2 linked regions of the Coturnix japonica genome follow. The protein of the gene in region 1 interacts with the protein of each later gene in a pairwise test. Links are inferred from orthologs where the notes say so. Each region holds a gene or a part of one and is shown in the gene's direction. Other genes may lie near its edges.

Evidence for each region.
Region 2: the proteins of NMT2 (region 1) and ACBD6 interact in binary tests that used the Homo sapiens proteins (3 or more experiments, as listed by UniProt). The link is inferred for Coturnix japonica from reciprocal best matches to the Homo sapiens genes NMT2 and ACBD6.

The regions. Positions count from the first base shown.
Region 1 is NC_029517.1:18,754,623-18,761,053, forward strand, and holds part of NMT2 (glycylpeptide N-tetradecanoyltransferase 2), read left to right. Parts: intron 1-33; coding exon 34-178; intron 179-2,079; coding exon 2,080-2,198; intron 2,199-2,305; coding exon 2,306-2,397; intron 2,398-2,503; coding exon 2,504-2,620; intron 2,621-2,991; coding exon 2,992-3,162; intron 3,163-4,456; coding exon 4,457-4,565; intron 4,566-6,431.
Region 2 is NC_029523.1:5,774,175-5,780,605, reverse strand, and holds part of ACBD6 (acyl-CoA-binding domain-containing protein 6), read left to right. Parts: exon of another isoform or gene 1-71; intron 72-309; exon of another isoform or gene 310-386; intron 387-1,749; coding exon 1,750-1,855; intron 1,856-6,431. UniProt on the Homo sapiens protein: Binds long-chain acyl-coenzyme A molecules with a strong preference for unsaturated C18:1-CoA, lower affinity for unsaturated C20:4-CoA, and very weak affinity for saturated C16:0-CoA. Does not bind fatty acids. Plays a role in protein N-myristoylation.

The DNA.
Region 1 (6,431 bases):
ATGGTACCCTCTTCTCTTTGTCTCCACATGCAGAATCCAGCCATTCCAATGCAGAAGCTTCAAGATATCCAGAGAGCAATGGAGCTGCTCTCTGCATGCCAAGGTCCAGCAAAGAACATTGATGAGGCTACCAAACGTAAATACCAGTTTTGGGATACACAACCTGTACCGAAACTTAGTAAGTTGAATTGGGCTTGGGCGTGTGATCTGGAAAGAATGTACACCAGTTGTGTGGCTTTAAGTCGGACTAAATGTGGTGGAGTTCCTTAATCTTTTGTGTTGTTTATATGGAATTATTGATATTCTGTAGGTGAGTCATTGCCCTTCAAACTAATATGCAACAAAGCACAGTGCTAATGAATCTCATTCTGATGTTCTCTACAAAACTCCTGTTGCAGTAACATTCCTTTGTATATTTTAGGTCTGAACCCTTAATCGACAAAACATAAAGAGAACATTTCAGGGCAAATAAAATCTATCAAGTGATGATGGGAATAAACTTTTGTTCTATTTATTTTCCCTGTTTTTTGGTGTTTTGGTTTTTTGGGGGGTGGGAAGGTTGGGTGGGAGGGATCAACTTGCAGTCACAGTGATGGTGACTCTCCTGGTGCAGGCTGCAGTGTTTCCATGCAGCTTTAAGTGGTTAATGACACTTCCCTCATGCCTGAACTCTTCCATGGCTCTTCGTTCACCTGTTTCTTCCACAGAGTGCACTACCTTGGAATCACATGTTCTGAGTCCCTTTTGGAGAAGACAGTTGCTGACTCTTATGTTGCTTTTTTTGTGTTTTTTTTTCTGACTTATTTCTGTGTCATCTTCTCCTTTCAATTTTTTTTTTCAAGTCAAGCTGTTCTAGCTCTGTTGTGCCAAAGAAACCTGGGGACCCCACAAGTAAAGCAGGAGCTGCCATTGTTCTGTTCTGGAAGTTTGCCTCCATGGCATTGGAGGCTGGTACAGAATAGGCAGAAATCAGTTATAGTGTAAAGCACAGGAACACTTTTCTCCATCTGTCTGATGGCCGGTGTTTCACATCAGTGCAGGCCTCTAGCTCAGTCTTCAGTGATCGTGTTTCCCCTGATTTCCTTGCATGGAGAAGTCCAGAGCAAAGTGCTCCCCACTCTGCAGATGGATTGTTAGGGCTGTTGAGAAGAACTACACTGTGCGGAGTTGGCTGGCAGAGATTCTGTTCAGCAGTTTTTCTGAATTGCTTCTTGAGTCTGTTGTTTAATTTTATTATCTTTTTTAGCTTAATCTGCTGGATGAACGTAAAGGGAAGTCTTCACTGTTTGATACACAGGTTATGTTCACTTGGAAAACAAATGTGTTGATTCAAGAAGTAGGTGTAGGAATCTTTGCATTAAATTAACTTCAGAATCCATCTGCCTTATAATTAACGCTGTTAGCAAGAGACCTGTTACCGTAAAATAGTAGGTCATTTGCTGTATATTGAGACAGCTGATACTGCCAAAATTTATGTAAAGATGCTGGTAGTTCTGACCTTCCAAATGGGGCAGTGAGATGTAACTACTTGTCAGGAGTGGGCATCGTTTGGGAAAAGTACATGCCATGTTTGGCAGGTGCCACTCCATGGAAGAGGAGCAATTTCTGTTTATAGCCAGTTGTTATATACTGATGAACTAGAGCTGTGCATCAGGATAGGGGAAATACTCTTTCATGTAGGATTTTAAGACACATTTCCTATTTTTCTGGCATTCCTTACAAGCCCTGGTTTTGCAATACTGCTGGTCCTTAGGAGTACTGCTGAGCTCAGACCTGTTCAAGGCAGTTGTAAACAGGAGCCGTCGCTCATTAGCTGTAGGAACATATTTCTCATAATGAAACCACGGATTTCATAGCTGGCCAAGCGCCATGCATGTGCTGATAAACTGCTGTCCCGTATTATGAAATACTGGATGGAGTAGTTGTGTGGCTGGCTGAACATACTGTGATGAAGTAGTAGTTGGTCTGAATGCAGTCTGTAAGAACTGAGATGTTCTTGAGAATTAATGGGGAAGTCAGCAGTGTAACTGTACTCTTTTTTTCTCTTCTTTTCTCCCTTGCTTTTTCTTCCTTCTAAAGATGAAGTCATAACGTCACACGGTGCAATTGAGCCAGATAAGGACAATGTCCGCCTAGAGCCATATTCTTTGCCACAAGGTTTTATGTGGGACACGTTGGATCTTAGCAATGCTGAAGTTGTAAGTAAAACATTTATTACACGTACCTAAAATCCCTGAAATATATTCTGCTTGATGTGTGTGGATAAACCTTTTCTTTTTCTTTGTGTTTTGTTTTTTGTTTTCAGCTGAAGGAGTTATACACACTGTTAAATGAGAATTATGTAGAAGATGATGATAATATGTTTAGGTTTGATTATTCCCCTGAATTTCTTCTGTGGTGAGTGGCAAGTGCTACATTCTGTTCTGGCTGGAGTGCAAAGAAGGGTGTTTTTATTACATCTTCTTAGGCAGTAATTTGTAATTATTTCTGTCATCGTTTCTAGGGCTCTGCGTCCTCCGGGCTGGTTACCGCAGTGGCACTGTGGGGTTAGAGTGTCTTCAAACAAAAAGCTGGTAGGATTCATAAGTGCCATCCCTGCAAACATTCGTGTTTATGACAGGTAAAACACAGCGTTACTTTTACATCTGTACAACATAATATTTTCAAGTGGCATGTTACAAATCTTAAAACTGGCATCCATTACAATGGAGAAATTACAGAGAGGCTCATTAACAGTAGGGAATGCAGCACTGCAAACAGCTTAGACGCTGCTTTGCATTTCATACAGTTTTCCACTCGTGTCACAATGTCAGATTAATCTTTGTTGCAGATGTAATTTGACACGGGCTGATTTATTTTTGCATCAGATTCTTCTGTTACAACATGGAAAACTAATGTTATATAATAGAGAATATGCAGCTTGCACTGCTTGTTTTTGTCAATAGTTCGGGGTTTTTTAAAATTCATTTTCTCACTATAATGTCCTTTTAGTGTGAAGAAGATGGTAGAAATCAATTTTCTGTGTGTTCATAAGAAACTGAGATCTAAACGGGTGGCACCTGTACTGATCCGGGAAATAACCAGAAGAGTAAACCTGGAGGGGATCTTTCAGGCTGTTTACACAGCAGGAGTGGTGCTGCCAAAGCCTGTGGCCACTTGCAGGTAACCTAGGTGATGTTCATAATAGCATTGGTTCCTGTAGCAGTCATTTGAAGTGCATGCTGTGTAATTGGCTATTGTGGTAATTTTATGCTGGTAGGTAATTGCGTTGCCATGCTGCTTTCTCACTCTCCCTTCCCAAAAAGACAGGGAGAGGAAATATGATGGAAAAAAGCACGTGGGTCGAGATAAAGACTGGGAGATCTCTTAACAGTTACTCCGACGGACAAAAGAGATTCAACATAAGGAGACTAATATAATTTTTATATATAACTGCACACCAACTCTCCCTCATCCATCCATCCATCCATCCATCCATCCATCCATCCATCCTTCTCTACTTCTTCCCCCAGAGAAGTGCAGGGGAGCATGGGATGAAATTTAAAACTGAGTTTGTTTATTGTACCTTGAATAGATTAATCAGGTTTTTGTTGAGCTTCTGGTGAAAGCCATGCTAGCAATGGCAGCATTGTATACCTGTGTTTTTTCAAGTGGCCTGTTTTCCTGCTGGGACGTTTCCCTGTTGACCTGGTTGGTTGCCAAAGATGGCAGAGCATTTCTGGGAATTGTGTGATCTGCTTTTCTCAATGCTTTCGTCTTTTCTGGAGAAAGGAATTTAATGAAGACGGGAGAACTATCACATGAAAATAGTTGTATGTTGTGAAGTATGATTTCATTTGCTTGGAGTGGATTTTATTTCTGCTGGGAAAAGTCCTGTGTCAGTGATATCCGTCTGAGGACAGAATACTCATGTATGAGCTATTTGGTTTAAATTTCACTTGTACGTATCAACACCAAAGATTCTGTAACCTTTTGTAGGTGAGGATGGCAAGAAAGCCACGCTGTGTTAGAGTAACCAGGGATGTTGTGTGCACTATGGGCTGCACAGAGGAGTCCCTTCACCAGACTGCTCAGACACTGAGTAAAGAGGGACCTCTGTTCTTAAGCTTTGACAAGTAATCAATAAAATAAATGTTACCTTGTAAGTAAGAAAAGATTGGTTGCGATATGGCAGGTAGTAGAATGTTTAGCCCTGGGGTTACTCATTCCTTAAGGAGATTAGACTCAAAATGCGGTGATTGCTGGCTTGTTTAACAGCTACTGCTTAGGTATAGCTTTTCCTTCTTTGTTGTTTTTTTGTTTGTATGTTTGTTGTTCAAGCCTCCTACAGACATCAGGTCAGTGCAGGCTGGCTAGGAAATAAATAAATAAATAAATAAAGCAGGAAATTAGAGAAATGGATACAGGTAAAGCTGACACTTAAAACACCATCTAATCTCATGAATTTCATTTCCAGGTATTGGCATCGATCACTGAATCCCAGAAAACTGGTGGAGGTGAAGTTTTCACATTTGAGTAGAAACATGACTCTACAAAGAACAATGAAGCTCTACAGACTTCCTGATGTAAGCAGTGTGTCTTCTAGAGAATCCCCACAGCTATTGGGAGGCCCAAAATAGCCTTCCATCTGTCTCTGACAGCTCAGGCTTTTGTGCATGTAGAGCACAGAAAAACAGAATCTTTTCTACCAAGAAGAAATAAGGGTCTGTGCTAAACAGAAGGGACTATTCCTAGAGGTGGAGGTTTGTGTGTGGAGAAAATACAAATGTGGGCTCAAAAAAAAAAAAGTAAAAGCACAAAGATGCCCTAGCTTCATAAACACGTGTCACTGAGTTGAAGATCCATAAGATTATTCTAAGTGTAATTAATCTGATCAAAATTGCTGGAGTAGAAAAGTAACAGCTAATATCATAACATTCTCAGGAAAGTCCTCTAGAAAGTTGGTCGAGCACAGTGGGATGGGTTGGTTCTCCTCCAAGTCTCAGCTGCTTCTTGTCTGTCAGAGAAAGTTGTTCTTCTGCAGTGAGCTGGCTCAGCAAAAGCTGCCTTGAACACTGTGTACAGTTAATAGCACGGTGTGGCCAAGGAAAAAAAAAAGCATTCTGGCATAGCTAGGTTAGTTAAAAATATTTTTTCCATATTTCTCCTAATAGGCAGGCTGGCAAAAAGCCTTCAGTTGCATTTCCTTGACAGGGGAAGTCACTGTGAGTAGTCTGAGATGAACTATTAAAAAATCTCATTGCTGTAATAACCTATAGAAGCTGGCCTAAGCTGTATGATTGAAAGCAATGTATTTGCTTGCAAAAGCTACCTTTCTATTTGGAGGGATTTGCAGACTGTCCTCTGGACCAGTGCCATATCAAGTAAACCTTTTTGATGTAAACAAACCCTCCCTTTGGTTTTTTGTTTGTTTTTTTTTTTTTTTAAAGTACTTTTTCATACTTATAATGTACTTTGTAATGATTTATCCGCCTTTGGAGAAATGTTTCTCCAATTTATTTATAATATATTTAGCCTGGTGCTGCAGGCTCTGTTGTTACTGGTCCACGTGAGTAACACACTGAGCACTCCTCAGTATGAAGCACGTGCCATGGCTTGATCTCAGCTCCTGCTGCTGTCAGTGGGACTCATTTCCTGTGCTGCCTGTTACCTATGCCTGCGCGTGTGGGTTCTCCCTCGTGTGCAGGGCAGCTGTTTTCAGAGCTTACAAATTAATAACTCTGTTAATTAGGTTTTAATCTTGGAGAACTAAATATAGCTTTCATCAAATCTGAAGATGTTTTTAAAAAGTCTTAAGAATTCCCATAGACAATTTCAAATATAGGTTTCAGTAGCAACACTAGTACTCTTTCTCACGGAAACAATACAACAATACAGGGTAAGAATAGCTTAAAGAATGAGATATGGATCGTATGGTGAAGTGTAACTGTGGTCAGCCGTAATCCATGGGCTTTGGGATTCCTTATACCACAGTTGTTCATTTACTTTTATATAGAACTTGGGAGATTGTTCTGTGGAAAATAAAGATGTAATCTTTTTCATAGAATCACAGAATGGATTGGAAGGAACCTTAAAGATCATTTAGTTCCAGCTCCCCTGCTGTGGGTGGGATTGACAGCCGCTAAATCAGGCAGTAGATCAGGTTGCCCAGGGCCCTATCCAGCCTAGCCTTGACATTTTTGCTAATGCTTATTGCTTAGTTTTTGTGCTTTGGGTTCTATAGAGTTTCTTTTCCTGTGGAAAGGTCTAAGTGCTTTTGCAAATCTGTATCTTTAGTCTCAGGCTGTTATTATAAACAAATCGTTTCATTCTGGCCAAACTGTCCTAAAATGAAAGCTTTTTGAATTCCTCACCACCGCTTTAATGTCCCTCAGCACCAGTGTTTCTTGCATTCTAACCTCTTTTCCTGGAGTCCTTGAAATATCATTGCC
Region 2 (6,431 bases), on another chromosome or scaffold:
CTGGAAATGTGCAGCTCAGATGTGCCAGAGGACTGCTTGCGTGCAGAGAGTTGGGGAGATCATAGGACAGCCTGGGTTGAAAAGGACCACAATGATCATCTTGTTTCAACCTCCTGCTATGACCACAGCCTTGGTTTAGAGCAGCAAGTAGGGCCTGCATGGGACCAACACATGCTCCCTTAGCCCTACTTGCTGGGCTGTGGCAAGTGTTGCAATTACACCATATAACAATCAGAAAGATCAATGTGATAGAACAGTGATACAGGAAATCCAGTAACAAAGGAATTAGAGCAATGGAAAAGTGCTTACCTGTCTCTGAAGATCTAAGCTTGCAAGGGAAACTCCACAAAAGAGGAATCTCCAGAAAGAGATCCCTCCCCAATGGCAGTCAGCTCTTAAATAAGGTCTAAGAGTGGTGCAGCCAGGCTCCGCTCTTTCTGGTCATGCAGCTGAATTGCTTTCACCTGTGCTCCCAGGGCTGGCCAGTCCCCTCCCCAGGTGCTCAATCAGTGGTTCAGGCCGTGATTCAAAGGTTACCATATGCAACAATAGCTTCTTCTGGAGCTAGAAACAGTATTCTGGCTTCAGACATGCTAAAACTTATTATTACCAGTGAAGCAAACAATTTCAAATGAAGTTAAGACCTACATATGGATTCGTAAGACACAAAAGAGCTTCATACCATTTGCTGGATCTACAGCACTTCTGGGCAATTGGTGAAGCAAGTGCTCAGAACCATAAGGAAAAGGATGGAGAGCTGAATGAAGATACTTTTACCCCACTGTATAAATCTGTGCACCTGCGTATGTAATACAGATTTGGGTCAACCCATCTCAGAAAGTAAGGAGAGAGATTGAAGAAGGGGATGAAAGGGGAACATCAGCAAAAGTAGGAGTTTATGACCGAGGAGACAACAACATAGTTTGAAAGGAGCATCTGGAGAGAAGGTGACTTGTGTGGTCATGTGAGAGGTCTGGAGGTGGTGTGATGTAAGTGAATAAGCACAGATTACCTAAGGGTACCCAATAAGGTCATCTGTTTTAAAATCACCAAAAGAAAGTATCTGTTCACTTTTCACCCCTTCATGCCCAGAATGTGGAGCTGTAGAGCTTTCCTTTAACAAGGCTAGGAGTACAGATGGGTTAAAAAGTAGAAAAGTGTTTGAAAAAGAGTCTGGAAGAATGTGAGAAATATCTTCATCTGGATACAGCTACAGAAATCCTTAAGCTACCGAGTTTCAGAAGCTGAGGATCTAACCAAGGGGCGGCTGCTTTGCGCTTGTCCTGTTTCTTCTGCTCTTTCCTCCAAACCTCCATTAGTGCCCGATGAGATATATGGCATTGAAAAGGCCTTTGGTCTGAGTCAAGGAGATGGCAGTTACAAGTTTGTTTGCGTGGCAGGGAGAAGCAGAGCTTTAGCCCTTTATCCTCTGGCAGACTGCAGTGATATATACCAGGACTGAGCGGGTTTTGTGTTGGGCAACTTTATAAGCTTCTTGTGAGAGCTGACAGGAGTAGGACTTCTGCCCTGGCATAGTGTTGTTAAAAACAAGCTTTGTTTCTAGGAAGCAGGAATTTCTGAGTCCTACATGGGGGAAAAACATACTGTTCTGCATGCATCATCCCAGGAGCCTGTTCCACTCCAGTGGTGCTATTGAAATGTTTGTAGCAATGTTAGAGCGTAAGAATGCACGTGGCCTTTGTGCGGCGCAGTAATGTGCTATTTCTTTTGCTTTTGTTTCCTGAATAGAGAAGAGGACAAGAACATTTTTGATTACTGCAGAGAAAACAACATTGACTATGTAACCAAAGCCATTCAGTCGAAAAAAGTGGACGTGAATGTCGCAGATGAGGAGGTATGGGTAAAAAAGATACAGAAAATCAGTCTTTTAATTGTTTAGTTTGTTAACAGTATTAAACCTTCCCAGAATTTTCTGATTAGACTTGTTATAAAGTACTGCAGGAGTTGGACCAACACTTCATCGTGGAGATGAGTGTAATGTGTTCGAAAAGAGCAGCTTTCCACTGGATTCCCAGCAGTGTGGATGTACTGTGATTTTGGAGCATGTCAGAAACTTCCTGTTATTCTCAGTAAGAAGAGCTGCAACTTGCAGAATGATGTGCTGAATACCCCCCTTTCTAGGGGCATCGTTTCAGGATTGAAGCACCATTTCTCCTACAGGGAAACAATAGAGATACTGCCAGAAACCTGAAGAAAAAGACAAATGCACGCGAATGGTCTGGTGATTTTCTTGGTAAAAAAAGACATGTGAAGTGGACAGTTTCTCATTCGGGAGATGTAGCAGCTTTATTGCTCTGGTTTCAGTGCTTGCATACTGCCACCTAGCCCTGCTCTTGGTCAATAGTACGTACAGCTACTTTTGCCCGCTGCTTTCCAGCACATTGTGTTTTGGTGAACAGATGAAGTGCTTACACATTCATAGACTGAGACGCCACAAATTCAGTTGGGTTCTCCTGTAGCTCTAAGCAGATTTCTGCCCTCTGAGCCATGACAGCCCCGGCTGGGGCTCTGAATGCTGATGGCAGGGTCTTTTATTATTAATCAGGAATTCGTGTGAATTAATTTTCAGATGAGAGGGAAGGTGTTCACGATCAGAGCTGGAATTCTGCATTGTGAATTCAATGAACTGAAACTGTCATATGCCATGCAGTCACTGCAGCAGGGCTGTTACTCAGCTCCATTTGTCCTTCTGTCAGCCACAGGTTGCAGAAGTGAGTGCCCAGGGCAGTCATTCCCAACACGGCCAGAAGCCTTTCATTAATAAAATCCTATTTTTGAGATCACACGCTTGTAATCAGTGCACAATAACATCATGTGATCTTTGCTTCATTTCCATTGATGAGATGTTTTCATGCTTTGCAAGGTTCAGAAGCTGATTCCTTCTTTTGAGTCTTAGCAGCGAATGTTCATGTTTTCAGCCAAAGAAATTGTTTAAAGAATATATGTGAACAGTGGCTGAAATATTGTTGTTCTCTCCTTGTAAACATTTGGAGCCAGATCTGAAAGGTGTGGAGTGACATCCTCTTTGAGAAATATACCCATGTGTCCATAGTGTGAGAGGGCCTGTTTCAGAGCCAGCAGGCACTCGCAGAGCATGGAGCTGCAGCAGCAAACATCTGACACCTCTGCAGTCCTGGCTACCTGTGGAAAGTCAATAGAAAGATGGTGCAGAATTCCCTCATAGGTATAGGTAGCAAGCGCTCAGAGAAATAGGAGCCCCTTTTTTAGCAGGAGCTGGCTTCGTTAGACTTGATTTTAATTGGTTAAATAAATAAATAAATTAGAGAAGCTAGAAGAGAAATCTGAGAGAAATATTTGTTCGATGCTGTTTTGAGGGGGCTGAACCCATCGCCAGAGCTGTTTAGTATCCAAATGCATCCTTCAGAGTCTGGAGGGCATCTCATTTTCCAATATCGTGCAAGTTGATTGAAGTTTTAGAACCTGTTTTAGGAAGGAGATAACCCAGAGCGAGCCTTTGGTAGGGCGAAGTGTATGCAAACATCATCTTGTCATTTTTATTAACTGTTTTAGTGTTACAGTGTAAATACATCCTGCCATATCCAGAAGATGCCTTTCCCAGCCCTCTGAACGTAACTCACTCTGTCGATCTTTTGATTTAAACGCATATAAATATAAAATGGCAGCATGGGTCTGTACAAAGAGTTAACTTGTTATGGAACAAAATCTGCTGGAGCACCGAGCAGCCTCGTGCTCAGCTGTAAAGACTCTCAGCACAGCCGCTCCTGCAACAGGAATGACCTGCCTGCAGCTCTAAGGTGCTTTGGTTTTATTCCGAGCGATGTATTTGTACTGTGTCTGGTTAGCAAAGGGAGAAAATGAGAATAAAAGGAGCAAAAGGATTTCAGAAGGAGCAGTAGGAGTCTGTAGGCTTTAGGCAGAGATGCCCTTGGCAACTCCTGAAGCACGAGCTGTCTCCTCCCCTAGATTAAAGAAAGAAATGAAAATCTTCATGGACAGCAGTCAAGCTGGCATACCTGCTAACAGTGCAGATATAATAAACTTCAATTTAGAATTAAGCAAAGAATCTAATGACAGTAATCATGTACACACTTCCATTTACTGTATCTAAATTGCCCAGAGTTCAACAGAATAGCTTGCATTCACTTAGTAGTAAGTAGTGCAGTCTAAAACAACCAGTTTCTCTTGCGTGTGTCAGCAGGACTAATGGAATAAGGGATGGACTGTGGCTGGGGAGTCACTGCAGGGCATCAGGCACACTGCAGCAGCATGGATTGTTTGCTGCCTTTGTGAGAGCAGTATTTCTTCAGCTGTTAACTAACCAGAAGTTGTTCAGGGGCATAGGTGGGTTGCTTCCATCATCTGTGCCAGCATCCGGGGTGACTGTAGGTGGAGCTTTTGTTGTAACTGTTGGAGATGCCCCAATAAACAATCATAGAATCATAGAACAGCCTGGGTTCAAAAGGACCACAATGACCATCCAGTTCCAACCCCCTGCTATGTGCAGGGTCACCAACCAGCAGCCCAGGCTGCCCAGAGCCGCATCCAGCCTGGCCTTGAATGCCTGCAGGGATGGGGCATCCACAGCCTCCTTGGGCAACCTGTTCCAGTGCGTCATCACCCTCTGTGCAAAAAACTTCCTCCTAATATCTGTCTGTATTTAAACCCTTACCAAAACTCGCTAATAAAAGGTGTCTGGAATGATGCTCACTTAGCCCCAACTTTTGAGACTGCAAGTGCCAAACTAGTGCCAAGGCAAGGACAGGTGGGATATGGATTTGGAGAAGCATTGCTGGGTGTGCATGCTTACTGCCATCAGGGGGGTTTCCCTCAACGTCTCAAGGCTCTGAAAGTGCTTGGCTTCCACCTCAGAGCTGAAGTTCACCTGTACAGCCGCAACAACTGCACTCCCCTTCACTGATTTTGCAATTGCAGGAAGGGGATGGAGCCATTATGAATGTACCTTGTCTTAATTACCAGTAATAAAACACTTGCTACAGGTTAGATTGGCTGTCGTTGGTGTACAGACTTTACAACTGCAAACGTTGTACCTAGAAGTAGAGCTTGCTGCTGTGGCGTTTCCATTGAGGTTGGCTTTGTTCTCCTCTTTCTCTGCACTGGCTAATTGATGTGAAATTCATTCCCATCCGTTTGTCTGCTGAGGTTGGGTCTAGCTGAGACAAATCCCTGTCCTGTGCTTTGTTTGTGAACACACTGTGACTTGGAGCTGAGCAAATTGATATGCTGTTGGCTTGAGAAACTGCTGCAGAAGCCGGCCAAGCTGGCAGCGGTTACCCAAGCAAAGCACGGAAGATTTAAGAGGCAGGGTTAGTGCACCGGGGCTATTTTTATGCTGTTTTTATTAAATACTTCAGAGGCAGGGGAAATGCATCTTCTCAAGTAACTTCTGCAACAACTGTTGTGTGTTTGAATTGCACGGAGAGAGTACCCTGCTGTCTGATTGCACTGGGCAAGGCTACTGCTGCAGTGCTTTCCCATGCAAAATTATTCGCCTTGGTCTGAGCCTTTCACTGCCTAATGAAATAGTCATACGGGAAGTGCTTTGGGACAGCTCAATCTGTGGCTCTTAATGCTTCTGCTGTGTTATTTAGAGAAGCAGACACATGTTGATGTAAAGTAACAGCTGTGCAGGCTGATTTCAACCTGTATAGGTGATAGCCAAGCTGTGCGGAGAGTTGTAGATTGTGCGTTCAATTTGTTTATCATTAAATTGTTACTGTTTTTTTAAGGAAGACCTGGGAAACAGGTAGACTTTGTAGCTATTTAGCTGTCTTAACATACATATAACCAGGACTACAGATTTTAGTTTGCCTGCTTCGATGCAAGCAGTCATGAGCTGGATGTGGCTTTGGGCAGCCTGGTGTAGTGGTTGACCACCCTACACACAGCGGTGGGGTTTAAACTATATGAGCATTGAGGTCCTTTTCAACTCAGGCCATTCTATGATTCTGTGATAGTTTTAAACTTAAGTTTCTTAGCAATGCTTTTTGTTATGTAGTGAGTACACTGAGATTCTACTTCTTACTTCCACATCAGGTGGAGTGCTCTTGTAGAGAGGGTCCCTGCCACCCTGTGATAGGGAATACGATGCTGCAAGGATGCAGCCATTTCTTGGTCGGAACGTGTCAGCTTTTTAATAGTGCCCGATTACAATGCAGAACTGTTTAAGGCACTAATTGGAAAATATTGTATCCATTTAGAATTGCAGAGAAAATATATAGGTAAGCAGAGTGTAATTACCCAAAATGGAATTGGCCCAAGACTTGAAATCCATACTCCTGCAAATAGCGCGAGGAGATTTTTAATGACTGGAGATGATCAGGCTTCAGTTTCTTGTCTCGTCCAAAAAGCAGCGTTCACAGCACAAGCTGCCATCCAGCACTGCAGGAAGGGGCTGGTTGCACCATGCT